Oryza sativa Japonica Group: one gene and its partner. The protein of the gene in region 1 interacts with the protein of each later gene in a pairwise test. Links are inferred from orthologs where the notes say so. Each region holds a gene or a part of one and is shown in the gene's direction. Other genes may lie near its edges.

Region 1 (3,748 bases):
AACTAAACTAATCCTTATATGAAACTTGGAGGACCACTTTGGCTATTCACCCTTTTAATATCTATGGCGAATGCTATGTCTTGTTATATTTTAGGATTGATGGATTATATATTTCTCCACGAAAATGATAAAGTTTTTTTTTGAGAAAATTAGAAACTAGGCCTCGTTTCACTGATAAAGAAGAGACACGCTAAGGGTTCACCCAAAAAATGTCACATTTTCGTCAAATTTGACATGATCATTGATCACCACTACTTACCCACTTTGGTTTGCTTTCCAGCAGCGCTGCTGGACGGCTGATCTCCTCCAAAAGCGTGGCATCGATAGTCACTCGACTTGCCCCTTTTATGCTCAGGATCTTGAGACGGCGAACCACATTCTCCTCGACTGCGTGTTCGCTCGGCAGGTCTGGCTCCGGGTGTTGTCGCCTTCTGGCCGGTCTGCCCTCTCTCCACCCCGTGGCAATTGGTTCCAGGACTGGTGGCCATCCTCTAGGGCCTGCTTACCAGAGCACCTCCGCGACAGCTTCGACTCCATGGTGCTCCTGGTCTCTTGGTGTCTGTGGAAGGAGCGGAACTCTAGGGTTTTTAACTCCGCTCTTTCTTCGATCCCAGTGGTTCTAGAGTCCATCCATGCGGAGGGCCATTTATGGTCTTTAGTTGGCGTCGCCGCTTTTGGGAATTTGTTGGGAGTGTAGCGTGGCTTAGCCCCTTCCCGCTGCTTGGAGTCTGTTTTTAGCCGCCGTAGTTTCTCTAAAGCTTCAGCTTCAGGTTTTTCTTCTTTTGCTTTTTCTTCTTTCCCCTAGCATAAGCCAGTCTGGCTGATTGCGGTGTGTAACTAAAACTCTTTTTCTTCTAATATATTGACGTGCAATCCTTTTGCGCGTTCGAGAAAAAAAACCACTACTTACCCACTCTACCACCATCATTAGCCAGGCTATATCTCAAGCACAAGTATATCTTAGAGTACATGATAGTACTACACCTAGCTGCTACAAGTATCCTACACACACTTGTTTAAATTATTGTGTCTAACCTACGAGCCCAACCCAATACCCCCTCATAAACAAGCATACAAATACAACAATCATATACCTACCCCCCCCCCCCCCCCCCCCCAATTTTCAGTCCATCAAAACAAATCCCCCCCAAAATAAAACCAATTGACCTCTCATATCTGTGTACAGCGTAACGACACAAAACGCATGTCCCAACTCCCAGGTTCCATTTCCCTTTTCTTCTTCCAACTTCCAAGCCTCAAAGTCGCCACAACACAAGAAAAGAAACAGCGAGAGAGACGCACACAACACGCACGCACGCACCGCGCCTCCGACCAGTACAAGCCCTCCACAGTAGTAGCCACCACCACCACTTTACACCCCCCTCGCCTCCCCGTCCCTTTCGCCCAGCACCTTGTCGGAGACCGACGCGCCTCCGCCCGCTCGATCGATCGAAGTCGGCGTCGCTCGCCTCCACTGCTGCTGCTGCTACTCCTCGCGCCCCTTCCTTCCTTGCGGAGGCGGCAACCTGTGACGCCACGACACCACCGGGGGAGAGCTACCGGAGTCGGCGGGCGCACCGGCTCCCACCACCACCGGGGGAAAAGTAGCCGTTGCGGCGTCGCCTTTTTTATTGTTGTAGGATGAGGGGTGCCGCTCGGCGGTGAGGTGGAGGTGGAGGTGGGTGGGAGATGCCGCTGGTGAGGTTCGAGGTGCGGAATGAGGTGGGGCTTGGGGACCCCGACCTGTACGGCGGCGGCGGCGGTGGAGGAGGAGGAGGAGGAGGAGGAGGAGTTGGGGCTGCTGCGAAGAAGGGCGGGGAGGCGGAGCCCAAGGCGCTGCTCGAGGGCGTCGCCGTCGCCGGTCTCGTCGGGATCCTGCGCCAGCTCGGAGATCTCGCGGAGTAAGCGCCCCCACATTACTTCTCACCCTCTCTCCTTGGCGCTGTGATTCAGGCGAGATTCGAGTTGCCGCGTGAGTTTGTGGCTCCAGCGCGGGATCTGGTGCGCTTCGTGTGTGATGATTTCGGCGAGCCGCTGCAGTTCCGGGGGGAAGTTTCGCGCTTGTTCGGGAGTGGTGGTGTGTGTTGGTTTGTGCATAGGATTGGGGTGATGAGAAGAAGGGGGATCTGGGGTTGAGGTTGGATTTGATGAGACGAGTGGCACGCTGGGTTTTAGGAATTAGAGTAGGATTTCGGTCTGTTGGTTATCGAGAAATTTTGCGGAGCTGCCTGTCCAGAACTGGATATGTGTCTGGGATCTCTTTCTAGGGTTGGATGCGTTTTAGGAGTGGGAAATGGCTGACCAATGTGGTTTTTTGCCGCATTTGCTTTGTTCGGGTTTCATGCTTTGGTGAATTGATCGAAACTGTTTATGTATTTTGAGTATCTCACTGTGGTTTTCAGTAAGATCTTGTGTTAGCATGGGGGTAATAGGTTATGCTTTGGAAAATTTCCCTTTTGTTTTTGGATGACATCGCCGGTAATTCTGAAATTTTCCTTTTCCATCAGTTAGTCTAAGGGGTGATTGGATGCATTTGGGTTTTGGGATAGATGTTATTGAATGTCTTTGCTACTTCTGGCTTGAGGATTTCAAGGGCTGTTGGCAATTTCCATTGCTTGTTGATGAAAAGCTCCCACCATCATTTTGGAAGTTGTTTCTGGCTATTGATTTACTTTTGAATACCGCCCTACATCCCTACATACCTGCCTGCTTTTACTATGTTTCTTTCTTTTTATTACCGCTATATGTTTCTTAACCGTGTCTGGTAAAAATTGAAGTGCTGGCTATTAGTTGGGTTCGACTATGTTGTGAGCCCTCTATTTTCATGTAATCGTTTAGTTTACTATGGCTAAATAGATATTTTGGTCTTACCAGATTTGCAGCAGATGTTTTTCACGACTTACATGAGCAAGTTATAACTACATCTGCTAGGGGGCGCAAGGTGCTGACTCGAGTACAGAACATCGAGGCAGCACTTCCATCTCTTGAAAAAGCTGTCAAGAATCAGAAGAGCCATATACATTTCACTTATGTACCAGGTACATACCGTATCAGTGTCAATATATCATGACCAGGAGTATAAAAGAAACCATGCTAAGGGTTCCTATGAATATTTAAATTGTCAACAACCATCTTAACCAATTACTTGTCACTGATTTGCCCACAAACCCATCAGAATGCACTGAAACTAGTTGAAGTAACCTGATGTTGTGCATGAGGTCCATAGTAGTTTATCACAAAATGCCAACCTGAAAAATGGCCAAACCCATAAGGAACTTCCAATTGAAGTTGGTGGTGTCGCTAAATTGCTATAGACCTTTTTGGCGGTAAGTTAACCTAGCCGTATGATGCTAGAGCTGCTCTGGTTGTTGGTAATGAATTAAACTTTAGTTTTACTGTTACTAGATCTACACGGTACAAAGTCAGATGCTGTCTCATACTTGAACGTCACTTGCTCTCACCGAATAATTTGGTTTAAGATGGTCTCACAGTTTTGTTGAATGTGCTGGTAAAATGCAGGCTCTGATTGGCATGCACAACTTAAAGATGAGCAAAATCACCTGCTTTCTAGTGATCTACCTCGATTTATGATGGATTCCTATGAAGAATGTCGAGACCCACCACGACTTTACCTTCTTGATAAGTAAGACTTGATTGTTTTCTTTATTGATGCGCTTGTGGTTCCTGAAATGTTTTGTCTTTTAGATTTGATAATGCTGGAGCTGGGGCTTGTTCGAGGAGACATTCT
Region 2 (3,748 bases), on another chromosome or scaffold:
ACAGCTGCACCTGCACCCCGCTGCGGTCGTCCAGCCCCAGCTCCGCCATCATCGCCGCCACCTCCTCCCCGCCCTCCGTGTCCCCGCGCGCCACGCACGCGTTCAGCAGCGCCCCCAGCACGTACGAGTCGGGCCTCATCGGCATCCTCCGCACCACCTCCAGGGCCTCCTCCACCATCCCCGCCCGCCCCAGCACGTCCACCATGCTGCCGTAGTGCTCCACGCCGGCCTCCATGCCGTGCACCGCCGACATGCTCCCCAGGATCTCCCTCGCGCGCCCGACCAGCCCCGCCCTCCCGCACGCGCTCAGCACGCAGATGAAGGTCACCTCGTTGGGCCGCACCCCTTCCTCCTGCATCCGCCCGAACAGCTCGATGGCCTCCACGCAGCGGCCGTGGTCCGACAGGCCCGAGACCATGGCCGTGTACGCGAACACGTCCCTCTCCGCCATGCCCGAGAACACCTGCCTCGCCGTCTCGAGGCTCCCGCACTTGGCGTACATGTCCACCAGCGCCGTGGCCACCATCCCGTCCTTGGCCATCGCGCCGTGGGCGGCAACCAGGTGGGCGTGCACCCACCGCCCTTGCTCCAGCGCCCCGAGCGCCCCGCACGCGGCCAGCACGCTGAGGATGACCGCCCTGTTGGGGCGCACGCGGGCCCTGAGCATCTCCTGGAACACGTCGACGGCCTCCGCGAAGCTCCCGGCGCCGACGTAGGCGCTGAGGATGGCGGCCCAGGCGATGGTGGTTTTGTGGGGCATTGCGTCGAACAGGGCGCGCGCGTGGTGGAGGCGGGCGGCCCTGCCGTAGGCGGTGAGGAGCGAGGTCCAGGAGCAGACGTCCCTGCAGGAGACGTTGACATCGAAGACGCGGCGGGCGGAGCAGAGGAGGGCGCAGGAGGCGTAGGCGTGGATGAGGCCGTTGGAGACGTAGGCGTGGGCGTCGCAGGCGACGAGGATGGCGAGGGCGTGGAGCGATTCTACGAGGACGCGCGGCGAGGCGGCGTGGGGAAGAGGAGCGAGGGAGGCGGAGGCGGTGAGGAGGAAGGAGAAGGTGTAGGCGTTGGGGAAGAAGGGATTGGTAGCGATGATGCGGCGGAGGCGCGGGAAGAGGCGGAGGGCGCGCAGCGGGGAGTGGGAGTGGGAGGGCGGGAGGAGGGAGCGGAGGAGCGAGTTGGGGAAGAAGCGGTCGGCTAGGAGCGAGGAGACGACCAGGTGGGCGTGGGCCTGCCGGAGCTGCGCGGCGGTCAGCCAAGGGCGGGACAGTAGCAGATGCAGTGCCGCCGGCGGCGCCACCATCCAGACCGAGCCAGAGCCAGCAAACAAGCAGCTCCCCTGCTCCAGGTCGAAGGAAAGGAAATGAAAGTAGTGGGGGAAAAGAAAAACTGGGCCGAATTTGTTCAAGCTCATGTGCGTGGGCTAACTCATGCATGCCGGCCCAGCCCAACAGATGCCACTCGGAGTTGCGGGAGAATGAAGATGAGGAGGGGACGACACCAGCACGTCACGTCACGAGCAGCAGCGGCGGCGGCGGCGAGGAGGAGTAGAGTAGGTGAGGTGAATCGGGGGAGGGAGGAATCCAAGAAGAAGCAGGTAATTAATCGATCGATCGGGAGGGGGAGATGGCTCGCGCGGGCGGGCATGGGATGGGGAACCCGGTGAACGTGGGGATCGCGGTGCAGGCGGACTGGGAGAACCGCGAGTTCATCTCCAACATCTCCCTCAACGTCCGTCGCCTCTTCGACTTCCTCCTCCGATTCGGTCCGTTTTTTCTCTTCCTACCTCTTCCTCCTTATCCTTCCCATAATTCCTCCATGGACCTGCACTGGATTCACATTTATTTCTGCTTCCTCTACTCAGGCATAGCCACATTTCTCTGGATCTGCATTACCCTTTTTCCTTTCTACTACTAGATCTGCCTTGCTCCTTCCCTAACTGGGCTTCCACATTTCCATTAGTCTTGGCGACACAGCTATGCATATGCACCAACCAAAATTTCATTTCCACTCTCCCTGCCTTCCACAAATGTGCTCTACCTCACCCATGTACACTAGTACCATCAACTCTAAACCCATTCTGCCTCCCTTCTAATCTGAACTTGTTTCTGCCATTGTCAACACAGTATCTATAAATCAAGCCTTTCTTCTGCCCTTCCAACAGCTGCCAGCGTCACACCAAACAAACTAACTTAAGCATATTCGGAAATTCAGTTCAGTAACGGTGTTACTGGATATAGACCTTTAATTGTTCTTAAATCTTTTCTACGATATGAATTCTCTGGACTATAAGCTTATTAAATCAACGTTAGTTAAGCTTCCATTGACAAGACAGCATATTTCCTGTTGGCCAGCCAACTACTCCAGTGACTATGTTCTAGTCAGTCTGATTTGCACAATTGTCATTATCTAAAATTTTGCATAATTGTGGAGTAGTTGTTACTTGGAAAGGAGGGATTGGCTTGGTGCTTTTCCAAGCCCTGTATGCTTCTTATTATGTCCATTAAACCACTGTCAAAAACAAAGCTTGAAAGATACCTTGAACATTACTGTGCAGAATATATGTGTTCTGTACTTTGCCCTCCGTGTATACATTTAGTCCAGAATGCATATTGAACCTTTTCAATATGGTCCGGATTAAGGCACTGGTAACTATCATACCTTCCATTTTTGCTCCAAACAAGATGCATTCACAACATAATCGCTCCATGTTGATTAGGAACTCGAGCATGTCAGCAAAACAGAGTGGACTGGGGGTAGCATATCTTATGCATGCATGTTTATTCAAGTTAACTAATATGCTTACACAGGTTTGTATGCATTTGTGCAGAAGCTACTACGAAGAGCAAACTTGCGTCCTTGAATGAGAAGCTGGACATCCTAGAGCGGAAACTGGAGGTGCTTGAGGTTCAAGTGAGCAGCGCAACAACCAATCCATCCGTTTTCAACTAGTAAGTGCAGTTAAGGGCTGCTTGTCTGCACATAAGTAGTGCTTTCAATGTGTTATGGGTTCAAAAGGACAGAGCTTTGGATGTCTGTATTGTGGGTGCAAGAGGAGAGGTTGTTCCTGTGTGTTTCTCTGTCTGTGTGTGTGTGTGTGTGTGTGTGTGTGTTAATCTGTATGCAGTGCCAGTAGCGTGCAAGGCAGCTTCTTTTCTACTCAATTCCATGTACAATTGTAACGTGTTCCAAGTTTGTGTGGAGATAACTAACCGATTGTTGAGTGCAAACCTGCAATGTTGCCTGCTTGCTTGTTGGAATGTGGAGTTTTTCCCTTGTAAAACTGTAACTTTTTAGGGGAATATTGCACGTTTGCACGCAGTCGGACAGACGCCGGCCCGAATTTTTTATTTATGGTAATTATTATCCTTGAAATTAAATAAGTAGTAAATCATGGAGGGGATTTAGGAAAATAGAATGGACGTTATCTACTAGGACATCCAGTGATGGACGCTGCTGGGAACAACGTCCGAGTGTGGACGCTCTTCCTAACCACGTCCTCCCATGGTGCAGCCTAGCAGCTTCTTCCTGTATGTCTTGACTGCCGCGGTGCTTCCTTACCGCACTAACGCTGCCTCTAGTGATTTGGGCAGGCAGCCATCCAGGGGTGTGGCGTGTGCCCTTCTCATATGCTCGCGTCAGGGATAGGTAATGGCGCTGCAGCCTTTTCAAATGTACAGGGGTAAGACAATCGATCGCCATCCACCTCAAGATTTCAAGAAGAGCTACGTTACTTGTAGAAGCCAGCGTTATG

What was found. The genes of interacting proteins can lie anywhere in the genome.
Region 2: the proteins of SCAR-like protein 2 (region 1) and probable protein BRICK1 interact in binary tests that used the Arabidopsis thaliana proteins (3 or more experiments, as listed by UniProt). The link is inferred for Oryza sativa Japonica Group from reciprocal best matches to the Arabidopsis thaliana genes WAVE2 and BRK1.

The regions. Positions count from the first base shown.
Region 1 is NC_089035.1:5,898,810-5,902,557, forward strand, and holds the start of SCAR-like protein 2, read left to right. Parts: upstream 1-1,226; 5' UTR 1,227-1,689; coding exon 1,690-1,901; intron 1,902-2,874; coding exon 2,875-3,038; intron 3,039-3,519; coding exon 3,520-3,643; intron 3,644-3,705; coding exon 3,706-3,748. UniProt on the Arabidopsis thaliana protein: Involved in regulation of actin and microtubule organization. Part of a WAVE complex that activates the Arp2/3 complex. Regulates trichome branch positioning and expansion.
Region 2 is NC_089036.1:36,178,047-36,181,794, reverse strand, and holds probable protein BRICK1, read left to right. Parts: upstream 1-1,511; 5' UTR 1,512-1,620; coding exon 1,621-1,759; intron 1,760-2,824; coding exon 2,825-2,946; 3' UTR 2,947-3,374; downstream 3,375-3,748. Other genes in the region: pentatricopeptide repeat-containing protein At3g62890, read right to left, coding at 1-1,297. UniProt on the Arabidopsis thaliana protein: Involved in regulation of actin and microtubule organization. Part of a WAVE complex that activates the Arp2/3 complex.